Rhinolophus ferrumequinum: one gene and its partner. The protein of the gene in region 1 binds, or shares a complex with, the protein of each later gene. Links are inferred from orthologs where the notes say so. Each region holds a gene or a part of one and is shown in the gene's direction. Other genes may lie near its edges.

Region 1 (8,725 bases):
CCTCCCTCCCTCTACTCTGGGCGCAACTTCGCCGCCCCCGTCTTCGGGACCGGTGAACCTCGCCCACGAGCGCAGAATAAAGCACTCACTTTTCTCAACCTGCCTGACTAGCCTCATTATCTCGCCGCAAGCCTTACAACAAGAAGCAGGAACCACACGATCCGCAATCCGACCTCCGCTTCTCTGCCAACCAACCCACCTGCTAACTGCAATCTGCGCTTGCTAGCTCAGCCACGGCAGTTACAGTTACATCAGTGGCTAATGGCTAACTGGTAACAACTGATGGCCAACTAGTCACAGCGGATGGCCATCTACCACCCGAGCCAGCACCTTTCCACATGAGGTCGGAGAGTCTGGATACTGCTCTCCTGGCTCTGTCCCCACAGACCCACACAGGAATTGGGTCATAGAGTAAGTGTTTATTATCAGATAACAAGTGGTTTGAGAAGGAAGCAGGTTAACACCTTCAAAACTGCCTTTGTAACTGGAAACCAAAGGTGTCTGGGGCTCACGCTACCTGCCCCGTTTAGCCAATAGACCCACACAGGAGTTGGGACATAGAGTGTTTATCAGATAACCACTGGTTTGAGAAGGCAGCAGGTAAACACCTCCAAAAACTGCCTTACATTCACAGACCAGCTGGGGGTATTTAAGGGAAAATCTGGTCACTCTCCCAGAGGCTGTATGACATCTCAGAAGTCTGTTTTCCTTTCATGATGCCTCCCTTTGTCATCGTATATCTTGTGGTGTCAGCGGTCTAGAAATGGTGGGGGAGTACCCTGGAAAAATGCTAAGCGATAGAGTTTGTAATTAGCAAGCATCTACAAGCTGATTCTCTGGGGCCAGGAGCCAAAACAGGGCAGGGCACCCCGGGGACATTCTGAGCTCAAGCCATAGGGGTGTGATTTACTCTTTCACTATGGGCCAAATAGAGTGAAACCAGCCCGGATGGGGGGCAGGGCATCCCGGAGGCATGCTGAGTACAGGGGGCCCAGCGGGGCCCTGCTTTACCTTCACAGTCTCAGACCAGCTTAGGGTATTTAAAGGAAAATCAGGGCCTTCTAACAGAGACTGCATGATGGTCCTGGGGGATTGTTCTTCTTCATGGTGCTTCGCCTTGTCCTCGTAACTCTTTGGTGGCCTCAGCAAGCCAGTGACGGTGAGGGGAGTAGCCTGGGAAGAATTCTGGGCTATCGAGTTTGTAATCAGCAACCATACAGGCATTAATCATGAGGGTAATCTTCTAAGGCAAGGGACCAGGACAGGGGTGGAGCATTCCGGGGCATTCTGTGCTCAAGCCACAGGGGAAGATTTATTGTTCAACTATAGGTTAAGGAAAGGTGAGGCCGGGGACACAGGGAGACCTCTATTATGGAGTCCCAACCAGACCCCCTGCTTCAATACCACAGGCTGGGTGGCTTAAACAACAGAAATTCATTTTCTCACAGTCTGGTGCTGGACATCCAAGATCAAGGTGCCAGCACAGTTGGTTTATGGTAAGACCTCTCTTCCCGACTTCCAGATGGCCACCTTCTTGCTGTGTCCTCACTTGCCCTTTCCTCTATGTGTGCACAGGGAAAAGGAGATCTCTGGTGTATCTTCTCATAAGGATACCAGTCCTACTTATGGATTACAGCCCCACTCATCTGACCTCATTTAACCTTGATTATCTCTTTAAAGACCCTGTCTCCAAATACCGTCACATTGGGGGCTAGGGCTCCAACATATAATTTGGTGAGGTGGGGACACAATTCAGTCAGTCCGTAACACTGGGGTCCGCTCAGTGAATGGCAAGGGATTTCTCAGAGAAAAGAATCTTTGTGAACTTGGCTGACGTTGGTATTCACTAGGGACAGTGGGGCATGAGTGATGAGCAATCAGACTAGATTGGACTGGATACAAGCGTAACTACAAGAAAAAAATCAGTCAGGTAACACTGGATACCTGAAGAGAACCCTGTCAGATGTTGAAGTTGTGAAGTGTACCAGCCATATTTTCAGCTAGAAATGAGAGAAAATTCAAAATACATACACCAGAGACAATCCAACTCACACTGGTTTAAAAACTAATTTTCTTCTTCCTGATACAAGACCTTGCCCTCTCACCCAAAGATTCACATGTGATCTGATGGATTGAATACAATCCAAGCTTGTTGAAGTCATCCCCTTACAATTTTCTGTTGGAACTGGAGGAGCAGAGTCTTTCCTTCAGCTCGAGATGTGGAGCCGCGGAGCTGCTTGCAGCTTGTAGCCCTCATATTCCTACATGGTTTGTACTCTCTTTGACCTCGTCTCTTTGCGCTTTTTCCTTTACTCATTTTGCCAATCCACCCAGGCCTCCTTGCTGTTTCTCAACTCTGGGCGTGCTCTTGCTTCAGAGCCCTTGCACTTTCGAAGCCTTTGCTGTTCTCTTTGGAGTGGTTTTCCTCCAGATACTGCTGACTCCTTCATTTCCGTCAAGTCTCTGCTTAAATGTTACTTTCATAAAAGGCCTATTATGACCACCCTATCTGAAATTGTGACCCTATCCCCCTCCACTCCTCTTTAAAAAAAAATGTTTTCCATAGCACCAACTTCTAACATGTTTATTATTGTTAATTATAGCATTATTCACTGCCAGTCTCCCCTCACTAGGATATAAGTTTCACTAGGGAAGGGATTTTTGTTTCTTTTGCTCATTGATGTGCCAGGCAAATTAGTAAGTACCCAGTAAATATTAATATTTATTGAATGAATGAATGTATTAATGTCCAAATAAACCCAACTAGTATAATACCCATCTAAGGAGGTTGTTAAGAGGATTAGAAATTATGGCTATAAAGTAAAGCACAAGTAGAATATCTGACTCATAGTAGGTACTCAAATATGGTAGCTATTGTCATTTTGCAAGGTCTCCTTTTTTCAAAGACTTGCCAGACCTGGAGATAAATTTCTATACCTATGAACAGAAAAAGACTTATGAGGAAAAAGAAAAAAAGAAAAAGACCTATGAGGCACATACCAAGAGGTGATCTTTGGACCTGCATGTGCAGATATACACATTTCTTTCTTGAGCATTATTTGTAGGAGACAAGAAAATCAATTCTTAAAAAAAAAAAAAAATCAAATTTTTTTTTTTAAGAATTTCGGCTTGGCTTTGGAATTTGGGAAGATGGAAAAAAAGAATGTCTTGAGGAGGTTAGGTTCAGTAAAGGATGAAGAAGAAGTAAATGAAGGACTAGGTAATGGTGATAGCTGGCATTGAGAACCAACAGCACTGATTGAAGAGGAAGCTGCGGAAAGATGTGAAACCACAAAATTAATGCTGCCAGAAATAAAATTGTCTACCTCATCTGGGTGGTGGAAGGTAGCTGGGGAAGGGCAGAGAAGAATCGCTGGGAGTGTTCAAGGTTATCAAGCAACGGGCCTTAAATGAATTGAATTCATAGTCTTCTAGTCCTAACATGGTGAGGTCAGAGGAGAGCTTAAGCATTCATTTCTATCAGTAGGACCAGAGAACAGGGTCTGTGTCTAGTAGGTATTTGTTCCCAGGTTGGGGAGTGACTGGATGGATTAGGATCACCAGGACTGTACGTGGAATTAAATGAAGTGGAAAACTGGAAAGTGTTCAAGTTTTAGAGACAGCTTTGAATCTTGATTCTGTCACTTACCAGCCATGTGACCTTGAGCAAGTAATCAACCACCTTGTACAAATCTATGGCCCCTAGAAAGTAGGGGATTAGAGGGAAAATAATAAATATGGCATTAAATTATGATCTTTAACAAACAAAAACAAATAGAAAAGTAAAGTTCTCAAAACCAATTGCTTTTGAGTAAACCCAGCTGATTAAACATAAAACCCTACTTCTATTACCTACTGCCCAGGAAACCTTGCTGTCAGGGCAGGCTTTCCCACGGGTCTTAAGAACACAAGTTTTCAAACCAGCCATTTGCAAGTTCAAATATAAGTCTTTCGCGCATATGCTATTTGTGGTCTCTTGTTTTGGTTTCACAAATCTTGACAATTATCTTCTTTCCTCAAATTATTCTGGGGTTTAAGGGTGTGTTTTTGTAGGCCTGACCCTTCTGTGCAGATAGAGGGCAAGTACATCTCTCTATACTTTCCCCCATGGGTCTATGGGACAAAGAAGCAATTTAAAAATTTGGGTTAATTAATATAAAATACTTTTATGTTGAAACTGCCATTAACAAGCAATTGTTGGCAAGAACATGGATTTTGGAACCAGGCTAGATTGCCTGGGTTTGAATCCAGGTTTCATGACTTCCTCGATGTGTGACTTAGGCAAGTTACTTGTTTTTCTGTACCTCAGTTCTTACATCCTAATGTTGTGATACTTAAATGAATAAATATTTGTAAATCCCTTAGATCATTGCCTGGCACACAGTAAAGCTCTAAGTGTTTGCTAAGAATATTTTGCTTACCACTGGCCTACTTGTTCATACGGCTTGATAACTATCTGCCTCATTCATCCTTTATGCCCTAGATGGGTCTATGGCTGGGTTGATAGGAAGGTGTATTGGCTTTAGTAGTGGTAGTACTTCTGCCAGTTAATTGCATGGACCAGGATTTATAGGAAAGTTTGGATACTGCCCCAGAGCGGTTAAAGTGAGGAGGAGATGCCTGCCATTTTCACAGGCTGTTACCAGCAGGTAGTATTCCTTTCCTCTGGGCAGGGGGTTGGGATGGAGAGGGGGTTGAGGACTCTTTTGGAGAGAAGCTTGAAGTCAGCTCCTGTATGGAAAACTGAAGATAGGCTAAGAATACACAGATAGGCATCCCTGGGGCCCTCTCACTGCCCAGCAATACCGTAGAACTTGTAAAATGCAAGAAGTCACCTTCACATCAGATTTGAAATCATTCCAAGTTTTTCCATTTCAGCTTCTCGACCATTTTTCTCTTAATTGGGAAGATGCTGTCAGCCTGATGGCCTTTTAGGTTTAAGTTTGGGGCATATGAAACACAAGTAAACCTGGGGTACTCGTTTGGAGGCAGGTACCCTTACTTCACCATAAGAGCCCCTGCTCCCGGTGGTGGTTGGACGTCCATGGGTTCTGAGAACACTCTTTCCTCGCTCTCGCCCTTATTAGCACCACCCTTTGTTCTGCTGCTCGCTGATCAGTTTCGCGTAAACGCCGGGGCCAGATTTAGGACCATTAGACTGTCATTGCGCCTGCGCAGGGGCCAGGTGCCTTTAGTGGCTAAGCTGTGTGGCCCCCAGGTCTGCGCTGTCTGTGCGCCTGCGCGGGAGGCCAGTAGGCTGGCAACGCGGAGCGGACTGGCCGCCCGTGTCGGGCTGTCAGTGCGCCTGCGCGCGAGCCAAGCACCGCGGTTCTTGAGTGTGCTGTGCCGGGCGCTGAGTGTAGCCATGGAGAGAGCCGACTCTGAGCGGACCCCCAAACGGCCCCGAACTGATGGCAGCCCAAGAACCCAGCCGAACACCCCTTCCGCTGTTGCGGCAGAGGTGTCCCCGGCCCCCAAACTCCACCCCGACCACAGGACCTGGGACTCGGAGCAGGTGTGCGACTTTCTAAAGCGCGATGGCTTCAGAGATCCGGGACTGCTGGACCGCATCCGAGGTAGCAGGGCTGGAGGGCTGAGGGGCTGGGGGGCGGCGACCCGAGGCGCGGACAGCAGGCCTGAGGGAGGGCGCGCCGGGGCAGGGAGCAGAGGCCCTCAAAGAGGACCCAAAACAGAGAAGCGAGAGCTGCCGCGGGAGGCACCAGAAGGGGTGGACCTGAGGTGTGAGGGGGACGGGGGGGGGGCGGAAGAGGGGTGCACAAGGCGGGGTGACCTGAGGCAAAGAGCCCTCCTGAGACGGGGGCCTGAGGTGGGAAAGGGAGCGCTGACGCGAGAGACACCAGAGGAGGCGGACCTGAGGCGGGGGGCCTCCGGGCTTGGGGGCCCTGAGGAAGAAAGCAGACTTTGGGGAGTGCGAACCTGCGGGGGGCAGTCTGGTGGCTTTCTCCAGGAACTTGCCACCCCAGCGCTGGACAGGCCAGACTCGGGGCCCTCTTTTAGGTAGCAGAACGTTTCCCCCGCTTTGGGGGGGAGGGCTGCTGTCATTCAGGCTCGCCTGAGCTACAGCAGCTCCTTGAACACTTGCCATGAATGTTCAAGGGTGTTTTGATGCTTTTCAGTTTCTGTTTTCCCACAAACCTACCCTCCCTTTCCCGAAACTTGGGGATTTCCTAAAAGAGAAGAAGGGACACGTTGGTTTCCTCCTAAATCTTCTTAGCCAACCATTGCCTCCCACCTGAGGGCTCAATCCATGTTTCTTCACTGGACCAGCAGAGCTTGGTGGCCACCATGTTTTCTTGTCCAAAAACACTTTCTTTTTCTAAATCTGGACACAGAGGGTTGTTCAGTTGACCACTGAATTCCCAGCAGCCCATCGCGTGGCCCCCAAATATGGGGAAGTGTGCAGGTTGTGAGTTTCAAGTGACTTTACTGGTCGCTTGAACTCGACTCAGATTCCCACAGTGGGTGTGACACTTACCCTGCCTTATCCCCTGAGGTGTTCAACAGGAAGATTGGTGTGATTGGCACATGCTGTAAACTTGTGCAGCTGTCGAGGGGAGCCCCGTTTGCTAGGATGGGGGAGTCAGGTAGGAGGAACTTCAGTGGTTCAAGACTTCAAGATAACTTGATGGGTATAGAAATTGTACTTTTCTTTTTTCCCTTTCCCCCTTTTATTTTCCTCCACGGCTGGGATGGAAATTTTTTTTGAAGAGCCACAGGTGGGGATGAAGTAGTTTTATATGTTCTGTCTCCTAAACGTGATTGGCTCTGTGGGCTCTCTGTTTCAGTGCTGTTCGGCAGGTATTCATTCATCAGCCTTCAGAATGATCTGCTCTCTTGAGCCCACAGTCTGATGTTAATAGAAGACACTGTGTGCTTGTCGTTGGTAAAAACTGACCAGTTGCTCATTTCGGACTGCCTGCTTTGTCTTGACCAAACTTTAGTTAGGCTTCTCTCTCTCCTGTAGGCCCCTCAACTCTTGCTTGCCTCCAAAACTGAGCATATACTAAATAAAAAAGTGGAACATGCCCCCTGATCATTTTCTCCTGGGAATCAGCTGACCACAGCAGGACACTGTCCTATCAGACCTCATTGAGGTTGCTTTCCCCTCTGTACAAAAAACAACACCTTTTTCTGTTTGATTTAGAGCCATTTGTGGATGTCTGAGATTGGAGTACTCTCCCTATTGCAGCATTTCTAATTAAAGTCTCCCCCATCTAAGCCCAGATTTGTTTTTATTTGACAAAACTAAGCACAAGGTGCTGAGTCCCTTTCCTCATGGAATACAATCTCACAGGAACCCTGAAATTTAGAGACCATGATCCATATTTTTTCACAGATGATGTGATTGAGATCCAAAGATGTTAAGTAACTTACCAGAGGTCACACAGCTAGAAAAAAATCTGAGCTGGATTTTAAGGTTAGGTCTGTGGACTCCACAATTCATGCCAGAATTCATACCTTAACAAGTGTTCTCATCAAAAACCATTGGATTCCCCTCAACAATAAGAGAACAAACAAACCAATTAAAAAAAAAAAAACATTGGAGAGCATAACCAAAGTTGTAAAATCAACTAAGCAAGAGGAAAACAAAAACAGAAAAATGAGCAAAACACAGGAGCAAACAATTGACAATCAGCCAATGTAAACACAGAAAAAGACATTCAGTCTCAAGAGTAATTTTTAAAAAATACTGATTTTTAAATTTAGATTGGAAAATATTCAATGATTGATAATAGACGAAATGGGTAACTCAATAAAGTTGATGAAAATGTCATTGGCTCAACCATGGAGAGTTTGGCAATACCTTTTTACTTATAGGAAATTTCACTTATAAAAATTTGTAGATATAATTTTATAGGTGTTCAAAGAAACGTACTCCAGATTATTCTTTTAACCATTGGTTATAAATAGCAAAAAAAGTAGAAATAATTTAAGTATCCATCAGGAATAGTGGTAAATAATAATGATGGCTAACATTTATTGAGTGTTTACTTTGTGTGAAGTACTATTTTATGCATTTCACATATTTTATAAAATCTTTACAACAACTCTATAACTCTGTGACATAGGTTCAGTAATACTCATTCTAGAGGTGAAGAACATAAAGCTCAGAAGAAAATGATTAAATATGTTATGGTACATCTATATTGTAGAACACAAGACAGCCATTAAAAATGATGTAGGTTGGGGCGGCCGGATGGCTCAGTTGGTTAGAACGCAAGCTCTCAACAAGGTTGTGGGTTCCCACATGGGATGGTGGGCTGCGCACCCTGCAACTAAGACTGAAAACGGCCACTGGACTTGGAGCTGAGCTGTGCCCTCCACAACTAGATTGAAGGACGACTTGGAGCTGATGGGTCCTGGAGAAATATGCTGTTCCCCAATAAAAAATTTAAAAAAAGAAAAGCACAGAGTAGTGTGGTTTAGAACTAAATGGCTTAGAACTAAATGCACAGGTTTAGAACTAAATCAACACTTTGGCATCTGCTGAGGCTGTGGTTTTGACCTGAGTGTTCTTCCCTCACCCCAAATCTCACCTGCTTTAGGAGGAAGCGCCTGTTTTGCAACTGGACTTCCTTGCAAATAATTTACTCAAGTAATTAAAAAATTTTCACCTGATTTATAAAAAAAAAAAAACTCTTGATATAGTTGTCTAATTAAGACATTCCTAGTAGAAAATTAAGACATTCCTAGTGGAAAATCA
Region 2 (7,891 bases), on another chromosome or scaffold:
ACATCACATGACTTTTCCTGGACAGACACCCCCACCTCTGAGGGAATGAAGAGAAACTGACTCACAGTAAGAGCCAGGACACCCTCTACCCTTAGAAACACCTCTCCTTGATGGCTTTGGCTCCCGGGCCTAACTGGGCACTCCTGGCTGTATCTGGCAATACCTCTCCAAGGTCCAGGCCCATTGCAGCCAGGTTTGGGCAGGGACAGGAAGCGGTTACTCCAAGTGGTGGCGGTGGTGGGCCTGTGACCTCTGAGTTGGGGGTCAGAGTAGCCTCCCTCTGTTACACAAGACCCTTCTTCTCTAGGCTTTTTTCAAAGAACTGATCGTGGGAGGACTCAGCAGTGCCCAGGGCACCTACAAATGGGTCAGGCCAGAGATCCCTGAATCCTGTAGAAAGGTCTTGCGGCTACCAACGGGCACTGCCAAAAATCCAAGGGCTCCTCTCTCCAATGCTGACTCCTGGAAGGATTTATGATTCCAGAAACCTGGGGCCAAAGAGTTCTGGGCTTGTTTCTCCTTAGCTTCCCTGCACCTGTTCCTCAACCTCTAACTTACACGGAGCATAGCCTCTGGGAAGAGCAGGGCCCCAGGAGTCAGCAGGAATGATAACTGACAGCCAGGCTGGGGGATCTGACAGGTCCTGGGGGTACCTAGAGGGCAGAGTTTGGTCCTCTTCATGCTACAGCCCTTCTTTGTGTTGGGCAGGTCCACAGTGAGGGTCCACGGGCCATCCCGTCTGCCTCTACTTTGATTGACATCACCACCCTGCCAGAGAACCCCAGGGAAGGAAGTGAGTGTGCTCTGGGCCGGAGTTCCAGATGCTTCCTGCCAGCAGGAAGCAGGGTCAATGGCTGGGTTGTGGAGGGTGACATGTCTGATTTCATATCCCAGGGGCTCCTTGGCTTTGACTGCCCTCACCCTGGATTGGTGGTAGCCCTTGCGGGCATGAGGAGGTCTAAGAGCAGATCCTCTTAAATCCACTCTCTCACCCACTCAGCTTTCAGTTCTGGGCTAGGACAGAGAGAGGACAGGTGATCCCCAGGAGTGGTAACTCCAATACTTCCCAGTGCTTCTGAAAATGTCCCCTAGGATTTTTCTGGTAAGGGACTCATTTCTCATTGAAATCAGGAAAGTCTGAGCTCCTCCAGCCGGCAGCACTGGGGGCAAAGGGAAACTAGCCAGGGCTGAGGTAGTCCTGGAGAACTGCAGTGGGGAGTTCTTCAGCCCTGGCCGAAGCATAATCAAAACATCACTTAGCTCGCACTTCCTGTGTGCCAGGCTCCAAGCTAAGCACTTTACATGCATCATCACATTTAACCCTGGAACAATGCTAGAAAGGAGGTATGTCATTCCCATTTTTCAGCCAGGGAAACTGATGTTCAAGGGGTGTAGTTATTAAACCAAGGTCCCACAGCTGCTAAATGGAAGCACTGGTATTAGAAGGAAGGTCTGTTTGCCTTCAAAGCTGGACTCGTCTGCTGACCTGTCTCCTTCTGCAAACTCTTCTCAATGAGGAGGAAAAACTATTTTGTCAACTCTGACTGTCAGTGATAGGGTTAAAAAAAGAGAAGGGTAGAAGGGAAGAATTTGAGCCTGCTATCACCTAGATCATCAGCTTTTGTATAAGGGAGCCTTGACAGCTTGGTCTGTCTAATCTTTAATGAGACCCATTGGGAGGCAGCTGCTCCGATTTGCTTCCAACTATTTTGCAGATGATTTAAATGAGGCCCTAGAGGCCGCAGGAGGGGAGTCCTTGGGGTCTGTGACTGAGCAGTGGTTCTGAGGTGGGGTTTCTAGATAAAGTACAAAATGACCAGTTCAATTTTAATTTCAGATAAACAATACTTTTTTGTAAGGGTAAGTATGCCCTAAATGTTGCAAGAGGCTCTCCTGGGGGCTCCTGCCTCTGGCAGGGGCCCTGGTACATGGGAGCTGATCCATTCCCCATTTGAGCCTCAGGCCCCTCTATGAAGTTGTGCCCATTGAAGCAGGAGGTGGTGACTGCCTTCCGGAGACTGCAGCTGCCGTGGCCCCTGGACAAGGTGCAGCTGAAACTGTTGTCTTGGTGGAACCTTCAATTTCTCCCTCTGTAAAACAAGAGTGGTGGACGAGCATGCAGTCATACAGGAGTGGTTGCTTTGCATACATATTGAGCAATAGGAATAGTGTTCCATTTTTGTCTAGGAGGCATAGGGGCTCCTGGGCATGGAGAGGGCCCTGAGTGAATGATTAGAATTCCCTCTTTGTCTAGGCCAGGGTCTCCATGGCCTGGCAGCCCGTTGGTGGCTCCTGTGACTCCTGGACACTTGTAGCAGCAATCTTGTTCAGCCACCAGCACAGTGAGAGTGGATGTGGAACAGCTGGCCTTGCCTCCTGGCCCCAGGGAGTTGCAGGAGGAGGTACAGGGGTCGTGGTGGCACCAGGATGGGGATGGGCTGGGGAGCCTGGAAGTAGGTGGTGGGAGGGAAGGGGTGGTGGAAAGGTGACAGGGAGGAGGGCAGAGGGGAGGAGCACCCCGAGGCCCAGAGGGTTTGGGGCTATTGACTTTCCTACCCATGGCATGGGTACTCCCACCCCCGTGCACGCCCTTACTTGCAGGCAGGTGGAGCACACCTGAGTCTGTAGCCCTTGGTGCTGGGACCAGGGCTGGACTGCTCTTGCCCTTTCTCTGTCACGGGGCAGCCCTGCAGACACCACTCCTTGCCCTTTTGGATGGTGTCTGCTTCTTTCTGAGGCACACATGGGGAGGTGCACAGGCAGACCGGGGTGGGGAGAGGCGAGGGTCCAGGGTCCAGAGATGTTCTTTCAAAGAGGCCAAGGAATCTCTTGCCAATGATTCAGAAGCAATGTGCCAGACCGAGCCCGGCAGGTGGGTCTGGAGTTGCCGTAGCTTTGTGCTTGTGTGGACTTCAATGTGAAAATGCCCACCCTGTGAAACGTGTCAGCGAGCATGCTTGGAATGTGTGTGCAGCCCAGAAAACCTGGGGGCTGTCCTTTCCCCTTCCCGGAGTGGGGGTCTGGGACTGCCTGCAGGTGTGTGGCTGTGTGTGTGTGTGTGTGTGTGTGTGTGTGTGTGTATGTGTGGCTGTGTGTGTGTGTTTGTGTTGGCAGGCTGGAGGGGCTGCAGATGTTACTGAGCAGAGATTCTGGAGGGAGCAGCTCCCAGACAGGCCCTTCCTTCCCCAGCCTCCGGGGCCCTGGTTTCTCCAAACTCCCTCACTCCCATTACAGACGCAGGGCCCCAGACTGGGTTTTTGAAGGGAAGCAGTGCCATCTGGTGTCAGACTGAGGCTGTGCCAGGAACACGTGAACTGGACCAGGGGTTCCCACAAGGACTCTGCCTTTCAGGACCCTAGGCAGTGGGCTTGAACACTCCATCCTTATGCATTTTGGGATCATGGCCTAAGGAGGCATGACAGGAAAGTCAGCTGAAGGAGTGATAGAGGACAGGCACAGCAAAGTTAGGCGTCCGGCCTCTGGACCTACAAATGGGACCCACCCCTTGGACCACCTCTCTATGCTCAGATTTCTCTTCTGTATAGGTCGCTGACTGTAATCTACCCTGTGGGGTGATAGTGAGCGTTATATGAAAAAGTGTAGGTAAAACACTTGGCTCAGAACTGAGCCTGCTGTAACGTCAAAGGAAATGATAGTGGCCATTATTGATACAGGCAAAAGTCCAGAAGCAGAGAAGAGAGCTCTGTCATGGCAGGTGAAAGGGTTGCAGAGAAGTGACATGTCTGCGGCACTGCCACCCCACATTCTAGGATTTTGTGCCTGAACAGCTGCTCCAAGTTACACACTTAAGTGAAGGAGGGAGGTATCGTTTTTCTGGGAAGAGAGGAATGGGGTCCAATCAGGAATGGAGACCTAGCATTCAGGCTTTCACTAGCTTCTGACTAGCTGTAGGACCTGACCATGGCAGCAAGTTTGCTGTGTCCCGTGTTCCCCATGTGAAAGTGTTGGCTCTGAGGACTCCATAGAAATGCACAGAAACTTGCTTAGGTTTCCCAGAGAGATAGTCTGGGGAGGGTCTTGTTAGGAAGAGATTCTGCTCAGCTGTCCACGTTTATCTTTCATGTCCCCACAAAGGGATCCCTGAGTCAGTTAGGAGTCATTCTAGTTCTACTGCTAATTGGTTGTGTGATGTTAGGCAAGTCACTTACTCTCTCTGAGCCTCCCAAAATAAAGGATTTAAATTAGATGACCTCTGAGGTCAGCCCTGCCTTAACTTATGGCCTTTTGATTTTTTTCCTTTTCTCTGCCTCACATGTAATACCTAGGATAAATATTTATTGATCCTACAGACCAGGTCTTGAACGGAAAGAGAAAGAAAAACTAGACTTCTGTTTAATGAGTGCTGTGCTTTCTGAGATGCTTGTGGGAAATGTCTTAGATCCTGGTATGTTCTAGTAACAATGGAGCAATGGGAGAATGAAACGAAGGCTTTCCGCTGTCATACGGGGCATAATAAGGTACTGAGAAGGGATCCAGCACTCATAGCCTTGGCTTGGAAGGAGTCTGGTTCCTCACTTTTCGCTTCCGCCTTCGGAAACAGCCAATGAGTAAACGTCAGTTCGCGTTAATCCTAAAAACCTACAAATACCAGAAGTCAACGCGCGGGGACGATGTGCTCCTGCTCCAATTAGGACTGGTGGTCCCCGCCCCTAGAAGCGGAACTTCATTTCCCAGGCGGCTCTGGGGCTCGTCCTCCGCTCGCGCTGGCGTTCTCCTCCCGCCTCCGGCTAGCGAGCCTCGCGCCAAATCGGGGGACGCGCGCGCGGGGCACGTAACATGCGAGTGACGCATAATATGTGGGCCGCTCTGGACCCGTGGTCGCGCTGTGTGTGAGTGAGGGAGAGTGAGTGCAGGACCTGAGGCGGTGTGTGTGAACTGTGGCCGCTGGCGGGGTCAGGGGGGAGCGGCGGAGCCGCCCGGGAAGGTGAGTGGGGCCGGGAGGAAGATGGCTCTCTGGGAGGGGCGCGAGGAGACAGAGCGCGTGGCCCCGCAGGCGGGAGAGTGGGCGCCGGGCTGGGGGAGGGGCGGCACCTGCCTGGGCCGCCGGCGGGGAGGGGGCGGGCCGGGCCGCCAGGGAGGCTGGGCCGGAGGCCTGACAGGGCTTTTCCTCCTCCAGATTCTTGGCTCGGGGGCGGGGCCTCCACGTTCTTCCTCCAGTCCGCAAAAGAAGCTTCCCGAGAGTAACTCTTCCGCCCGGAATGGGGGGCAGGGGTGTGCCCGCCCCTACCTGTAGGAGGGGCTCCTCTTCGTCCCCTTGGTGCATTTTTTCTTCCCAGTCTCCGTTCTGTACGGGCTGGGGGGCTCCGTCTTTCTGCCCTACGGCGGCCCCCTTCCCAGACTGTCTCCGCCTCCAGCTCCAGTCACCTGGGCGGGCTTTCGCCTCCCTCGGCCTCGTGCTACCTCCGCCTGCACCCGCCTGGCTCTCGGACCAGGCGAAGGGCGGAGCTTTCCGGGCACTCCTCCCACCCCCGTGGTGGAGGGGCGGGGTGGACAGAGGTGTGTGGTTCCTGCAGCGTGGAGCCAAACCTCGGAGTGCCCGCCAAGCTTCCCGGGAGCCTGTCTCTGCGGTTATAGTCGTTTCAAACTGGGATGTCAGAGGCGTTTTCTCAATCCCTCTTCTCTTGCTAGACGGCTTTCTCTTAGGGCAGAAAAACAAAAGCGCTCGAGTTTCGCATTTGTTGAAGTGGTAGTTTTTTTGGAGCATCTGGAGTAGTACTTTTTGAGTCCCAAATAGCTCATCCCTTTCCACATCACTTTGGCCTCAGTTTTTCCACCGTGTGTTTTCAATGGAGCCTTTTAATTAGTCTGCATGTTTTAATAAGATGCTTTAATAATTTATATTAGTAGCATCTTCCTGTTCTAAACGCTTTGTTAATGTAGAGTGAGAGGTTCATTGGCGTGTCATCCTGTAATTTTCCAGTTTACTGGAGTTTACCTTTAAGATTTATGTAAGTTTATATTTAGAGTCTTTAGGAATTGATTTGTGTTTTTCTGCTTGATGCTTTCAAGGTTTGGGTTTTGTATATAGCAGTTATTCATTATCCATTTTCAGCAGGCGATATAGTTTTTGATGTTAAGGAGGTAATACAGAATTTGGGGAATGGAAAGGAAATCGTGTGCTCAAAATCTCTTGAGTAGTTGCTGAGTGTAGTTTTTTGCTGTTTTACTTGTACGGTTGTTACTTTTAATTGAGGAGGAATCTGGTGGAATGAACCACATGTTAGCTTGAAGTGATTGAAGTTGGTTTTTAACCAATTATGTCTCTTTTTTGTAAAGGAAGTGGTCATAGGCAGTAATAGAAAATTGTTATATATGATCTCATTTTATACTAATTATTGGGTAAATTTCCCCCCCTTCTTCTGCCTCCCCCACCCCACTCCGGTTCAAGCTGTTGTTTCTTAGTCTAGTGTGTAGGACGCAGCTCCCTGGCCCATGCTGGTGGCCGCTCAGGATGGCCACCACTCATACTGGCCACCAGCCATTCCTGGCATAACACAGCAGCTACCGCCGACCTCCGGCTGCTCATGGCAGTCCAGCTTCAGGGAGAGCTGTTGTTCACAATCTTAGCTGTAGAGGGCGCAGCTCACTGCCCCATGTGGGAGTCGAACCAGCAACCTTCGCGTCAGGAGCATGGCGCTCCAACCACCTGAGCCACCTGGCTGGCCCTTACTGGGTAAATTTTACTTGATGCTCCAAACCTGGATTTTTTTCCAGTTTTGTGTGTTTGTTTTGTTTTTAAATGAAGAAGAATGCTTTCAAACACTTGTTTCAGGATTGTAACCTTAAGGGAACTTTCCTCAACCTGGACTTCATTTTAGGCTTCGGGGCAATTTCTGCGGAATAGGCTGTTCAGTACTCTGTGTTAGAAGAGGACAGATTTTATGGTTTAATTAAAAAGTTACAAAAGGTTACAAAATAGTTGAAAAATGGTAGAGCTAGGATGATAATGGATGATGAAAAATCTCCTACCTTTATCCCTTAGAAAATCAGTTACCATATTTTGCCTTGTATAATGTGCTCCCGTGTATAATGTGCACCCACATTTTTGGCCCAAACTTTTAGGGGAAAAAAACTCTCTTGTTTAAATTTTTATTTATTTACATTTAGGTATTTTTTTGTATTATAAAGGAATTTTAGCATTTATTTTTTTAACATGTTACGGTAGAAGAAATTTTATGTAACAAATAATTGCAAAACACAAGAACAGGTACAAGGTACGAGAAATTTTATGTACTGGTAACAAATTTATGATGTTTACACATCATAGAAGGCCAAGAACTCTTCATTGTTGCAAGTTCGTTGTTGCAAGTTCATTGTAAGTTCAGTAAAACCAATCATCATATTCCAGGGTATTATTTTGCATACGGGTATCATTATTGATTTCTAGAGTTAACTTTTAACTCATAAGCATAAATAAAAGAATTAAAAGCATTTATATAGATACGGAATTAGTACTACCCATGTATAATGTGCATCCTTATTTTTCCCTCACAAATTTGGGCAAAAAAGTGTGCATTATACAAAATATAGTACCTGCCACAAAAGTAATAGATAGTCTCCATTTCTTGTGTATTCTTTCAGGGATATCTTATTTGAGGGACACACAAATGGACACACATTTCTCACTTAACAATATATTGATCTAGAGTTGGTCAAAGTAGGAAAGGACATGCTTCTTAATTTTTTCCAACTTTTTATTATGAAAATTTTCAAACATATTAAAACGTTGAAAGAATAGGAAAACAAACACTTGTTTATCCATCCAGAGTCAACAGTTGTTAATATTTTGCCATATTTTCTCTCTATAGGTGTGGTATATGTTTTCTGGAGCCATGTGAAAATAAGTTGCAGACACATTACCCCTAAATGC

The links. Proteins that work in one complex are often made in the same cells at the same time.
Region 2: the proteins of SAMHD1 (region 1) and DCAF1 are in contact, whole or in part, in a crystal structure (PDB 4CC9), measured with the Homo sapiens proteins. The link is inferred for Rhinolophus ferrumequinum from reciprocal best matches to the Homo sapiens genes SAMHD1 and DCAF1. Residues at the interface, in NP_056289.2 of Homo sapiens: Ser616, Arg617, Val618, Gln619, Lys622; in NP_001336097.1 of Homo sapiens: Asn1090, Glu1091, Asp1092, Thr1114, Gln1116, Asn1132.

What each region holds. Positions count from the first base shown.
Region 1 is NC_046306.1:18,855,802-18,864,526, forward strand, and holds the start of SAMHD1 (deoxynucleoside triphosphate triphosphohydrolase SAMHD1), read left to right. Parts: upstream 1-5,234; 5' UTR 5,235-5,365; coding exon 5,366-5,576; intron 5,577-8,725.
Region 2 is NC_046300.1:5,573,622-5,581,512, forward strand, and holds the start of DCAF1 (DDB1- and CUL4-associated factor 1), read left to right. Parts: upstream 1-4,716; 5' UTR 4,717-4,945; intron 4,946-7,891. UniProt on the Homo sapiens protein: Acts both as a substrate recognition component of E3 ubiquitin-protein ligase complexes and as an atypical serine/threonine-protein kinase, playing key roles in various processes such as cell cycle, telomerase regulation and histone modification.